Oryzias latipes: one gene and its partners. The protein of the gene in region 1 binds, or shares a complex with, the protein of each later gene. Links are inferred from orthologs where the notes say so. Each region holds a gene or a part of one and is shown in the gene's direction. Other genes may lie near its edges.

Region 1 (4,193 bases):
TGGCAAAAGTTGTAGTTTAATTCCTCTATTTATTCTTGTGCCTCTTTAGTGAATCGGTTCAACAGCAGGAAAGTTGCCTGTGTTTTTCCTAAACATCTGACAAAATCTATTTTCTGGACAACACTGGAGTGTCAAAAAATGTGAAATGTAACTCAAAACTCTGGGATCTTCTTTCTCTGAAATCAGGTAAACTGTTGCCTAATCTGTCTATTCATTTTGACCTTAATTCATATGAAAAGTGCATTATGGGAAACTTGTGAAGCTGCTTGCGACTGGAAGTATCTGAAAAGGAGTTTTTTTGTTTCTTCCAACCAAATCAAAAATGTAAAAGGTGTTTTAAACAAGCATTGTTTAGTTTTGAACTCTGTATAGTGTTCTCTAGTAGCCCCCATGAGGTCATTCCTGATACTCATCTTCATTTAACTGTGACTGTTTCTTCTCTAGAAGTTCAGCTTTTTAATAAAGTAAGATAGATTGTTTTTTTTTAACTAAACAGGCACCTCTTGACCTAACCACTAGTTAATGGACTTTTTTGTCTTTTTGTCATTTTAATGCGTTTATGTATGACTCTTGGTTTGTTATCACAGCTATGCAGTTTTGCCTCAGACTGTTTTTGTACCAACGGAAAACAATAAAAAACACTGCTGAGGTTTTGACACAGTTTGTTTCCTTCTAGATAAACGTTATCATTTTGTTTGTTTCTTTGCATGAAAGATCACAAAGACACAGAACATGAAATAAACCCAAAAGGATGGAAAACCTTTCCTAGAAATATGCAGACTGGCCCAATTACACAAAGACTCAACCAGGAAGTTATAAAAGAAACTGCAAAAGGGCAGGCCTAACATGACTCGCTCAGGTCAAAGTTCACATAAACTTTTGGGCAAAAATAGATCCATGGGAGACTCCAAGACGCAACTAAGCAAAAGAATTGTCACAAAACGGGACCTTTCTAGAAACTGCATCCTGTTTCATCAGAGCAGAAGCAGAAGAGGCATTTAAACAGAGATTTTAACATGTTTCTAAAGTCAACAAAGAAAGTAAAACAAAATGGAGGCTGTTTTTCCAACAGTTCAGATTACAATTATCAATGTAATGATCAAAAACTGCATGTTCTGTTACCTGAAGTGATCTTTGTCCAATATTTATATTAAAATTACTGACATATGTAAAAATATATTAGTTTAGAAGGAGGCCTTTTTAAATATTTGAGTTCTGTTCAATATTTGCATCTAAATTGGTTTAAAAAAAAGAAAAGTATAATTGAAACTTTTTTTTTCTGGAAAAACAGTTGTTACCGGTATGGTCGACAGGTGGCAGCAGAGAGCTTTGGGCTTCAAATCACAGACACAACTGGTGTGAGTGCGTTGTTTTAACAGTCTGTGTGTGAATGTGAAAGAGGAGAAGCCGCGTCGCTGTGTTCCCCCGCATTGCATGATGGTCGGAGTGCCGGTGCTGACTGCACAGTGTGCCAGCTTGTTTTCCTCCCGGCTCCTGTGAAGTTTCTGGGATGGTAAAGAAGGGAAACTCCGACTGCTGCGCTCCACACGACAGGTAGGCGAGCGACCGGTACTCCGAGGCTGCCAAACGAATCTCGGCTTGTTTGGTGTCTGCGCGGAACCTCCTTCTGTCTCTGCTAGCATTAGCCCTGTGCTCTGTTTGTAACCGTCAACATTAGCTTTAGCTTTGACAGCAACTCTGCGATATTCTTCTCTTTCAGCGCAGAATTAAAAAATAATCGAGTTTTTGTATCGGTGTGTAAGGTACACTTTCATGTCAACTCTATTAAAAACAGAAAAATGAGAAAGTTACCAACAAGCTCATGCTAGCTAGTTAGCAGCAGAGCAAATCTGACAGCTCAGGTCGGAGCATTTAAACTGTAACACAAAAGTCTAATTAATCTTTCATGGGATAGTTAAAAAGTGGGTTTATACACTCTCTTTGTATTCATTTATATAATTAGTTTCAGCCTACAGTTGAAGTCAAGACATTGTTAAAAGCTTCTGTCTTCTAAAGTTGTCAAAGCTAAAATGCTAAAATTAGCATTTTGAGTTTTTCTTTTTTAATTTAAATTCTAAAACAGTTTCCCGTTTTAGTTCTGGAATTTTTTTTATATAAAACCAATCTTATAAAGATGATTGTTAAGGTTAATTCAGGTGACCCACTATGCTTCTGGTTATCTTGCTATAAACAGACTAAAACAGATACTAGTGGTGAGAGCTTCAGGGCACATTGGACATTTGTACTCCAGATCTTTTTTGTCTGCTTTCTTACATTCATGAATGTTGAAGCCATGATGGCTGTTAATTACTTATTTATATATCAATATAGGGCTTTTCTAAGGTCAAAAGTGTTTTGCATTACAATAATAATCTTTAACCATGTGGAAAGGTTGAGGGGATCAGTGTTTTGCCCACGGACACTCGAGCAGGAAAGGCAGGAAATGAACCTGCAACCTTCGAAACATGGGCCCTCCACCTACCTTTGCATCACAGCTACTGTTTCTTTCCTGTCTTTTCTCTGAGTTGATCACATCAGATGGTAAATGTAGTTTTTCTGTTTTAGTTATGTATTTGGTTCACATTCACTTCATTTCTTATCAGTTCCTTTCCCAGTATGCTTGATTACTCACCAGCCACATTATTAGGTACACCCTACTGGTACCGGGTTGGACCCCCCCTTTTTGCCTTCAAAACAGCCTTAATCCTTTGTGGCAAAGATTCAACAAGGTACTGGAAACATTCCTCAGAGTTTGGTCCTTATTGAGATGATAGCATCATGCATTTGCTGCAAGTTTTTTGGCTGCACATCTATATGCCAATTTACCATTCCACCACATCCCAAAGGTGCTCTGTGGGTTTATATCTGGTGACTGTGGAGGCCATTTGAGTCCAATGAACATAAACTAATTTTGGCATGGCGCTTCATCCTGCTGGAAGTAGCCATCAGAAGGTACACTGTGGTCATAAAGGGATTGACATGGTCAGCAACAATATTCAGGATGGATCCATGTTGTTAATGCCAAATTCAGACCCGAATGTCACAGCAGAAATGGAGACTGATCAGACCAGACAACGTTTTTTTCAATCTTCTATTGTTTTTCCCATCTTCTATTATCCAATCACTGGATATTTTCTCTTTTTCGATCCAATCTCTATAAACCCTAGACATGGTAGATCATCAGTGAATGAAACACTCAGACCAACCCATCTGGCACCAACAACAATGCAACATGCAAAGTCACTTAAATCACATTCTTGTGTTCGCTTTGAACTGCACAGATCATCTTGATCATGTCTACATGCCTAAATGCTTTGAGTTGCTGCTTTAAGACAACCACTGTCACTACTTTTTAGAGTAAAATAAACTGAGTTGAATGAAAGGTTGTTACCAGGTAAATAAGTCTGCATCTTCATGTTTTCTTCACTGCAGCCTTAATTCTTTTCTTTTGTCAGAATTGCCTGGATTTGCCTGAATTTCTCTCCTAAACGTTTAACATGAACTCACTCCAGTGTTCTTCCTCCTAATGCTATCCATCCTCAGCTTTCTCAAAGAGAATCTAAACATTTTCAGCTCGCTCTCTTGTCTTTTACTCAGTGCTGCTGTCCCTAAACCATCTCCTCCCTTTCCTGCAAATATTCTTAGTCAAAAATAGCACTTGCACTTTTATGCACTCGATTACATCACTTTGTTTTCCTAGACTTTTGCTCATTAATGTTTGTGATGTAGCAAAGAAAGTGTGCAGAAATAGTCCTGATGCACCGAAACTCGCACAGCGCTGCTACTTTAAAATCATTCAATCTGTGACTTGATGGTTTTATTTATTTTTTTACTCATTTAGGATGACACTTGCCTTAAAGAAAAATAAAATATAAAGGCTCATGGAATTATTATTTACCTAACAAAATATCCTGAAATAGCATTTTATTTTAAGGCATTTCTGTAATGTATAATATAAATAAGATGCAATAAAAAACTGTCACTGTTGACCTATTATAGTATGATATAATACTTATTTAAACTATGAAAATTCTGGAGCTTCACTGAAGCGGTTCGTTGAAGCAGCATCTTGCAGACTAACGCTGGACTGAAGCATTAATGTTTTGTGCTGACCACTAAGAGCACAGACGTATAAGACCCTCTGCTGTTAATCTCATCACAGAGATGAGGGGATTACAGGAAAAATCTCCCGT
Region 2 (4,236 bases), on another chromosome or scaffold:
ACTTTCTCCTTCATATATTTGTATTTGTACACAAAATGAAATGCTAATCCTGGTTAGGTGTCCTCTATTCGATCTGTCACTTTGCAGAAGCTGAAGTGCCTTTTTCTTTGTACCAAACTGCTCCGTGGATGATTGTTTTATGTTTGCAAATCAGAAACTGTCAGTTTTGTTTTTGTGGGTTAGAACACTTGTTTTGTTATCTCCATATTATTGTGAAAAAGTAATTATTTTCAAGGAAATATGTTGAAGTATGTAATGCAGTTTTGGTCTCCGTGTTTTTTATTTCTTTCCTTTTTTGTGTAATAAATAAATATCTGTAAAGTGTCTTGGATCTCTAAAAACATGTTTTGTGTTTTTCCCCTGAAGTGATGTGAATGTGTTGGTTATTTTACCCAACATAGTTTTGAATGTGATTTTTGATGTGAAACTCTAAACTCAAACCTTTTTTTCTTCCATTTTTTTCAGTTTAGACCAGATTTCTACTCTGGTTTTACAGTTATGCAAAAACTTTATTTGTCAAATGTGTGTAGGTCTTGTTGATGTAATGTATAACACTCAGTTGCTAAGTACTTATGTCTTGTTTTTGACATAAGAAAGTAAGTAGTTGAAATAAATATTATAATAGTCACGATTGGGGGTCAAAACAAACAAAAAACTTTTTTTCTTCTTATAAATTATTGTCAATAAAGCAGCATTCTTTTTTTTCATTAAAAAAAGAGTGCTCCTTTATTTTTTATTTAAACAAAAAAGTGAATTCTGTTGACTAGTTAATGTTATTTAAAGATGGCACGATAAAATTGTGAACATCTCGGCTTGCAAATTAGTTTTAGTTGCCCGATCTTCGATTTCTCGTTTTAAATGCATATTTTATTTCTTAACAACTCCTTGCTTTCAGAAGTAACGATTTTAGGAGAATTTTGAATCCAGTATAACATTTTAATTTTATGTTTCCAAAAGGGATGTTGGTAGTTTTAGTCACATAGTCCTGTCACTGCTTTTCTTTCTTTCTTAATCTTTTATTTTTTTTATATAAATTGAAAATTTCAATATAAATTTATTTCTGGAAAAACAATACCACTTATGCATATAATTCCATAAACTTAGAAAATGTACATCACTCTTTAGGCCACGTTTTCAGTTCTAATGATCTATTTTTTGTGTCCAAGGTCTCTTTTACAATAAAACATTTTATTTAATGTTCAAAGTGGACGGTTTAGAAATAAAACGCTGTTTTTCTTTTGCGGTTGGAAGGACAATGTTTATACATATCGAAAAAAACAGATCTGTATAATGAATATTTTAAATGAAATACAATTAAAATCCCCAAATACAAGCTCAACTTTATGTTGTTTTTCATTGACATGCGCACTGAGGAACATCCGGAAGTCTGCACCGCGCAACCTCAAAGAGAGCGTAACGTTTGATTGGCTACGAACGCGGAAATGACTTCTTCCATTTAGCTGCTTCGGGTGTCAGGAAAAATACTGAAAATATATTCCCATTGATTTAGAACGAATCATCTCGTTCTCATACATGCTTCAGACACAGGAAAATCCGTCACGTTAGAGAGAGAACTGACAGTTGTAGATCTTGCTGAAAACCAGTCAGCTTCGTCTCCTTCTTTTCATTTGACCCGTCTGTGTCTCACAGCTGGTCGGAGCTCGCGATGGACGCAGACACAGACGGTTCTGGAGGGCCAGATGAGTCTGGGAGGAGGCGAAAGGTGCATGGTATGCTGAAGCTTTACTATGGGCTGGATGAAGAAGGAAAGATCAGCGAGAAGTCGCAGTCTCTGGATCCCTGCGACATCAACGGGCCACATTTTGACCCGGAGCTCTACCTCAACAAGGTCTGCCAGTTTCCTGTAAACTCGATTTATAAACCTTCTCGAATCTTCTTGCACATAGCAGAGAAACATCAAAATGCTCGTAATTCTGATCGTTTTGAGGTGACATTTAGGTGACAGTCAGTTTGATGTTTCTTCAGCTCAGGAGGGAGTGCTCTCTGGCTGAGCTGATGGATCAGGAGACCTGCATGGTGAAGCAGATTCGATCTCTGGACAGTGACATGCAGACTCTGGTCTATGAAAACTACAACAAGTTCATATCTGCCACAGGTGAAGAATCCACCTTTAAGAAAACGCCAGTAAGTTACGCAAGCATGAGAAGATGAGCCATCTTTTTTTGTCCACAGACACAATAAGGAAGATGAAAAATGACTTCAAAAAAATGGAGGATGAGATGGACTGCTTGTCTGCAAACATGGCTGCGATCACTGACTTCAGTGCTAATATCAGCGGCACGCTTCAAGATCAGCATGCACAGATTACAAAACTCTCAGGTAAGATTTGATCTCGAATTGTTTTTGTAAATGTCTTTCTTTCTGACTTCATTCTGGTTGTGTCCCTCTGGTGTCTTCTCACAGCGGTTCACACTCTGTTGAGGAAGCTTCAGTTTCTCTTCGAGTTGCCTGCTAGACTGAACAAGTGTCTGGAGCTGAAAGCCTATGCTCAGGCAGTGAGCTTTCACCGCAGAGCCCGCTGTGTGCTCCAGCAGTACAGCCACCTGCCCTCCTTCAAGGGCATCCAGGACGACTGTCACGCCATCATGGACATGCTGGCTCAGGAGCTTCGACAAAGGTTTAGGTGAGGACTGTAAGCCGACAGGAGAGAGTGTAAACGTTGGGAAATGGGAGCAACGGTCCCGCCCACGACTCAGCGATCCGGCGCCGTTATTCGCATGACCCGCCGGGCAGCGTCCGGGAAACCAAAAGTCTTTAGGCACCACCGGCACGGACACAAAAAGGATTGACAGATTGACAGATCCTCGCTGATGAACTCCTGCTGCTCTGCAGGAACTCTTCTTTCTCTTTCGGCTTTTCCCATCAGGGGTCGCCACAGCGAATCATCCTTTTCCACCTCACTCTATCATGGACATCTTCTACCCTAACATTAGCCAACTTCATGTCCTCTGTTAAGACATCCATGTATCTCCTCTTTGGCCGTCCTCTTGCCCTCCTGCCAGGCAGCTCCATCTCCAACATCCTTCTACCAATATATCCACTATCCCTCCTCTGAACATGTCCAAACCATCTCAGTCTGGCTTCTCTGACTTTGTCGCTAACACAGGCAACATGAGCCGTCCCTCTGATGTACTCGTTCCTTATCCTGTCTAACCTGGTCACTCCTAAGGAGAACCTCAACATCTTCATCTCCGCTACCTCCATCTCAGCCTCTTGTCTCTGTCTCACTGCTACCGTCTCTAACCCATAGAGCAGAGCTGGTCTCACCACTGTCTTGTACACCTTTCCTTTGAGTCTTGCTGGCACTCTTCTGTCACACAACACTCCTGACACTTTCCTCCACCCGCTCCAACCTGCCTGCACTCGCCTCTTCACCTCTTTTCCACACTCCCCATCACACTGAACTGTTGACCCCAAGTACTTAAACTCCTGCACCTTCTTCACCTCAGCCCCCTGTAACCTAACGCTTCTACCTTGATCCCTCTCGTTCAGACACATGTATTCTGTCTTACTACGACTGACCTTCATGCCTCTTCTTTCCAGAGCAAACCTCCACCTCTCTAGCTGTTCCTCCACCTGCTCTCTACTCTCACTGCAAATTACAATGTCATCCGCAAACATCATTGTCCAGGGAGATTCCTGTCTTACCTCGTCTGTCAGCCTGTCCATCAGCATAGCAAACAAAAAAGGACTCAAAGCTGATCCTTGGTGTAGTCCCACCTCCACCTTGAACTCCTCTGTCTGACCTACAGGACATCTCACCACCGTCATACTACTCTCATACATGTCCTGAACTACTCTGACATACTTCTCTGCCACTCCAGACGACCTCATACAGTACCACAGCTCCTCCCTCGGCACCCTGTCATACGCCTTCTCTAAATCTACGAACACACAATGCAGCTCCTTCTGACCTTCTCTGTACTTTTCCATCAACATTCTCAAAGCAAAAATGGCATCAGTGGTGCTCTTACGGGGCATGAAACCATACTGCTGCTCACAAATCTCCACCTTCTTCCTAAGCCCGGCTTCCACTACTCTTTCCCACAGCTTCATTGTGTGGCTCATCAACTTTATTCCTCTATAGTTGCTGCAGTTCTGCGTGTCACCCTTGTTCTTAAAGATCGGAACCAGAACGCTTCTCCTCCATTCCTCAGGCATCTTCTCACTCTTTAAAATCCTATTGAACAACCTCGTTAGAAATTCCACTGCTGT
Region 3 (4,015 bases), on another chromosome or scaffold:
AATCAAACACTCATTTACAAACAACTTAGAGAATTCATTGCCGCCTTACCTCCTCCTCCGTTAGCTCTCCAGCTCTCTTGTTGAGGTCAATGTCAGCCTTCCTCAGGACAACATGGGCGTAACGTCTGCCAACACCCTGTAACCAGATAGACAATAACGTTTACTTTTTTGTATTTTCTGCAGATACATGAATAGTCCCACAATCAGATTACCTTGATGGCGGTGATGGCGAAGGCGATTTTCCTCCTACCATCGATGTTCGTGTTGAGTACACGAAGAATATGCTGGAATTTCTCGGGGATTACCAGAGACTATTAACAAAAAACAAAAACAAAAGTTGAACATGTGAGATCCTTCAAATGATCCTCATTCTGTACCAACATCAGAGAAATTTATAAGTGATGCTCTACTATAACTGAAACTATGCATACACAAAACATTCTAATGGCTCAATATTGCTTGGTAGCATAAAAAACACTTGTACCTTACAGTAATTTGATCAGATACTTTTGTATGGTTCTGTATGTATGGTAAGCTAATACATGAGCTTGAAGACACAAGTTGCCTAAACGGTGGCTTTGCAGGGCCAAAACAAAGCAGTTGTTAAACACAAAGGGAACAGTGTTTGTATTATCTTGTACAGATCACATTAGCTAGAAAATATCATGCAATCCCAACACCTAGTATCACGGCTAAATTAGCCTACAAACATGATCGCACAAGCAGTTTCAATTAAGAAAAAACTCGCAACCAAATTGGGGAGACAGTTTAAAAATACTTAGGTTGTATTGGAAATGTTGCGAGTATTTAAAACTTTAATTTGAGCAACATCAGAATTTTAACATAGGAAATGCTAGCCGGTTAGAGTCCGTCGGCGCTCACATTTTCAATCGCTTTTCCTACAAAACATCTTCATGATTGTGTAGCCAATATTCTATTCTATAGCTTCGCTGTCGAATAAATGTTTGAAAACACCGATGATTTAAGGACAGAATTTGCGAATAAAGCTGGATTACTCTAGATTTCAAGACTGTTTCACAGTGCCAGAAAATGTTTCATACCATCTTGGATGTCGGTTCCGTGCAAAGAGGAAGTCGTGGAGTTCTCGCGAGAGGTTGAGGTGGTTGGAAACGGAAGTTGGTCCGCGGTGTTTAACTTGTCCGGCAGGGACTTGATTGTTTTTTTAAAATAAAAAATATGGACACGAAAATGATTCACTTTGATCAAATAGACTTCATAAAAATAAAAGTTCTTGCCTATTTGCCTGATAGATTTATATGTGACATTTCTTTTTATCATGCCTAAAAAAATGCTGCAGTAACTAACTGGGTGGAACGTTTTTTTTCCTTTATCTACACAATTTGCCAATATGGCGGCGGAAGCGGCAGCAAACATAGGAGCGATATCGGATGTAAACACATCAGGAAATCCAACAGAAATAGCAATGTCGTATCTCCAAAACGAGGTGACATTTACTGATTTTAGAAGTCTAGTGTCTGTCTGTGTGGGGGGGGGGGGATATTTGTCTGATTGCCCTGTTAGCATATTTGGAAACTAATTGAATTGTTGGCAGACAAGTCAAGAACTGTCTAATTCCTTAAAACGTATTTGCAGAGTACAACATTTCAGATAAACGTGTGATATAAAAGGTCAATTTGAACCAGTCTGGATCTGTTGTTTTAAGTCTACCCTCTCTTCTTGTTTGCCGCAATGAACAATTTCCTGAATACGTAGCATCACTAGTCTCTGATCACGTCCATTAAGGCTTAGTTGTTGTCAAACAAAACTGACTTTCTCTTTCAGTCAGTTTTTATTCATAGTTTGTTTGTTAAGCAGGGGTCTACGTCTCATCAGGATGTATATATATTTTTTTATTACTTTGTGTCTTTTTCTCAGAAGACTGATGGAGACTTCCCAACTCTTAACCTTGGGGAGTTGGATCTCACCACAGACGAGTTCATCTTAGATGAAGTCGACGGTAAGAAACAACTGCTACAATTCTACAGGTGTAACGAATAATCGATGAATAGATTTGTATTTCAAGGATCAAACCAGATTGATCAGCCTGAGGAAGGAATGCAATTAAAAAATCGTTGCGAAATTAGATGAATCAGTAATCAAATTGAAATGGGAACATATGGACTGAGACAGGGTAGGTTTAATCTACTATAACATGACCAAGTGCATTACAGCGTACAATACACACGTGTGATAGCATCCAAATATAATAAATCCATCATTCCAGTCCAATGTGTGGAAACACTTTGAACTGATCAAAGACATACAGTGTGCTAGAATGTTCTAATAATGTTTGGATTATGTTGATGTGGAAAAATAACAGTGGGCTGAACTTTAGGAAACTAAAAATGTCAATAGATTTAGCATTAATTCTTAATATTTATTCTACAGTAGATTATGTTGCAAAAAATAAAATGAATGTGGAAAACTTTCCCTGAACTGTTCCGGACCCAAATATTTATCTCTGAGTCACACTGGTGGAATTTTTGGGTAAAGATGCTCTGGATTTATTTTAGGTCAATGAACCAAAATGGAATCTTAACCACAGATATTGAATCACTGTTAAAATGAATTGTTACTCCCCTGTTATATTCTTTGAACTTATAGTCAAAGTGGAATGCAGAATCCGTCATTGCTTTTCAGTGTCACTGTTTGAAAACTGTTTTTTTGTAATAAATCAGTGGTTTTTTTCTGTTTTTCAGTTCATATTCAGGCCAATCTGGAGGATGATCTTGTGAAGGAGGCGCTCAAAACGGTAAAACATGGAGCTCAGTTGTTTAAGACAACCAATTCATTCATGTGTCATACGAGGAATAGATTTTTTTAAACTAAATGTATCAAAGAGCAGATTTTCTCCACGTCCAGACATTAGCCTCTGTTAACAATTATTTATTAGTATTTTTATCTCTCCAGGCTTTGACACTCAGTTTATTTCAAGCAACAGCTTTAAATCATCCGAACAATGAGATCCTTTTGTTGTTCTTTGAAAATCTCTAGAAGTAAAGGTTTATTTTGCCTTTTTAGTTTACTTTAAACCTCAATACCTCTTAATAGAAGAACAACAATGGCTGTGATGAATTTAGTTAGTCATATGAATGTTGTGTTTAATGTTAAACTGCTGACTTTCTGTCTGCCGGTCAATTGTCCTTCGTTTTAGGGGGTTGATCTGCGTCAGTATTCCAAACAAGTGGAGACGGAGCTGCAGAGGATTGAGCAGGCATCTATTAAAGACTGTATCCTTCAATATTTGTTAAAAAATGACCTGAAATGAGAACACGCCAAACTATTATTCTGCTAGTTTTCTTCTTTCTTTAACTTTGCTGAATTAATATACAGCTAATTTCTTTTTTAAATCTGGTATTACAGATGGCTTTGTGTGTTTTTGATTGGTTTCAATATCTTATAAACATAGATCAGAATAAAGACGGAGTGTCGATCGAACTTTTTGTAACCGGTAACATTTAATTTTTTGTCTTTTTAGGGAAAACTTAAATAGGAAATCTAAGTTTATATATACATTTTTAATCCATTGCAGTATGAAAGGTTTAATCCATTAAAATGAAAAGATGAAGCCAGTAAATGTTTCACAAAGGTTTTATTTATGGAAATGTTCTGTACAGTTTTCCTGATTATCTGTCTTCCAGACATTAAGGAGAGTCAGAACATTGCTCTCCTGCATAACCAGATCACTGCCTGTGACTCCATACTGGAGGTAAGAAAAGATCTCAGACCTGCTGCTGTCTTTGAGAAAACTGCTCCCGGACACTCGATGCAAGCTTTGGTTTAGCTTAACAAACTGGATATGTGTGAGAAGAAGATTATGAATGCAAAAAAAAAACAACATTTCTTTTGCTTCTCAAATGTTCCAGGTAGATATATTAATAGGAACAATTAAACAACAACTATAGTTGTGGCTTCTAGAAATGAGTAAAGGACAGAAAGATTCACTCATTCATTTGTAAATCTATTTAAGGTACATCTACACACAGTTTTATTC

The links.
Region 2: vps54 (region 1) and vps51 share a complex: the UniProt entries of both Homo sapiens proteins name them as parts of the golgi-associated retrograde protein (GARP) complex. The link is inferred for Oryzias latipes from reciprocal best matches to the Homo sapiens genes VPS54 and VPS51.
Region 3: vps54 (region 1) and vps52 share a complex: the UniProt entries of both Homo sapiens proteins name them as parts of the golgi-associated retrograde protein (GARP) complex. The link is inferred for Oryzias latipes from reciprocal best matches to the Homo sapiens genes VPS54 and VPS52.

Annotation. Positions count from the first base shown.
Region 1 is NC_019859.2:8,751,729-8,755,921, reverse strand, and holds the start of vps54 (vacuolar protein sorting-associated protein 54), read left to right. Parts: upstream 1-1,356; 5' UTR 1,357-1,554; intron 1,555-2,602; exon of another isoform or gene 2,603-2,729; intron 2,730-4,193. UniProt on the Homo sapiens protein: Acts as a component of the GARP complex that is involved in retrograde transport from early and late endosomes to the trans-Golgi network (TGN).
Region 2 is NC_019872.2:19,788,222-19,792,457, reverse strand, and holds the start of vps51 (vacuolar protein sorting-associated protein 51 homolog), read left to right. Parts: upstream 1-1,412; 5' UTR 1,413-1,666; coding exon 1,667-1,849; intron 1,850-1,986; coding exon 1,987-2,116; intron 2,117-2,193; coding exon 2,194-2,340; intron 2,341-2,424; coding exon 2,425-2,644; intron 2,645-4,236. UniProt on the Homo sapiens protein: Acts as a component of the GARP complex that is involved in retrograde transport from early and late endosomes to the trans-Golgi network (TGN).
Region 3 is NC_019869.2:3,226,668-3,230,682, reverse strand, and holds the start of vps52 (vacuolar protein sorting-associated protein 52 homolog), read left to right. Parts: upstream 1-1,211; 5' UTR 1,212-1,369; coding exon 1,370-1,465; intron 1,466-1,896; coding exon 1,897-1,978; intron 1,979-2,720; coding exon 2,721-2,773; intron 2,774-3,175; coding exon 3,176-3,251; intron 3,252-3,662; coding exon 3,663-3,730; intron 3,731-4,015. Other genes in the region: rps18 (40S ribosomal protein S18), read right to left, coding at 50-136, 213-311, 1,062-1,064. UniProt on the Homo sapiens protein: Acts as a component of the GARP complex that is involved in retrograde transport from early and late endosomes to the trans-Golgi network (TGN).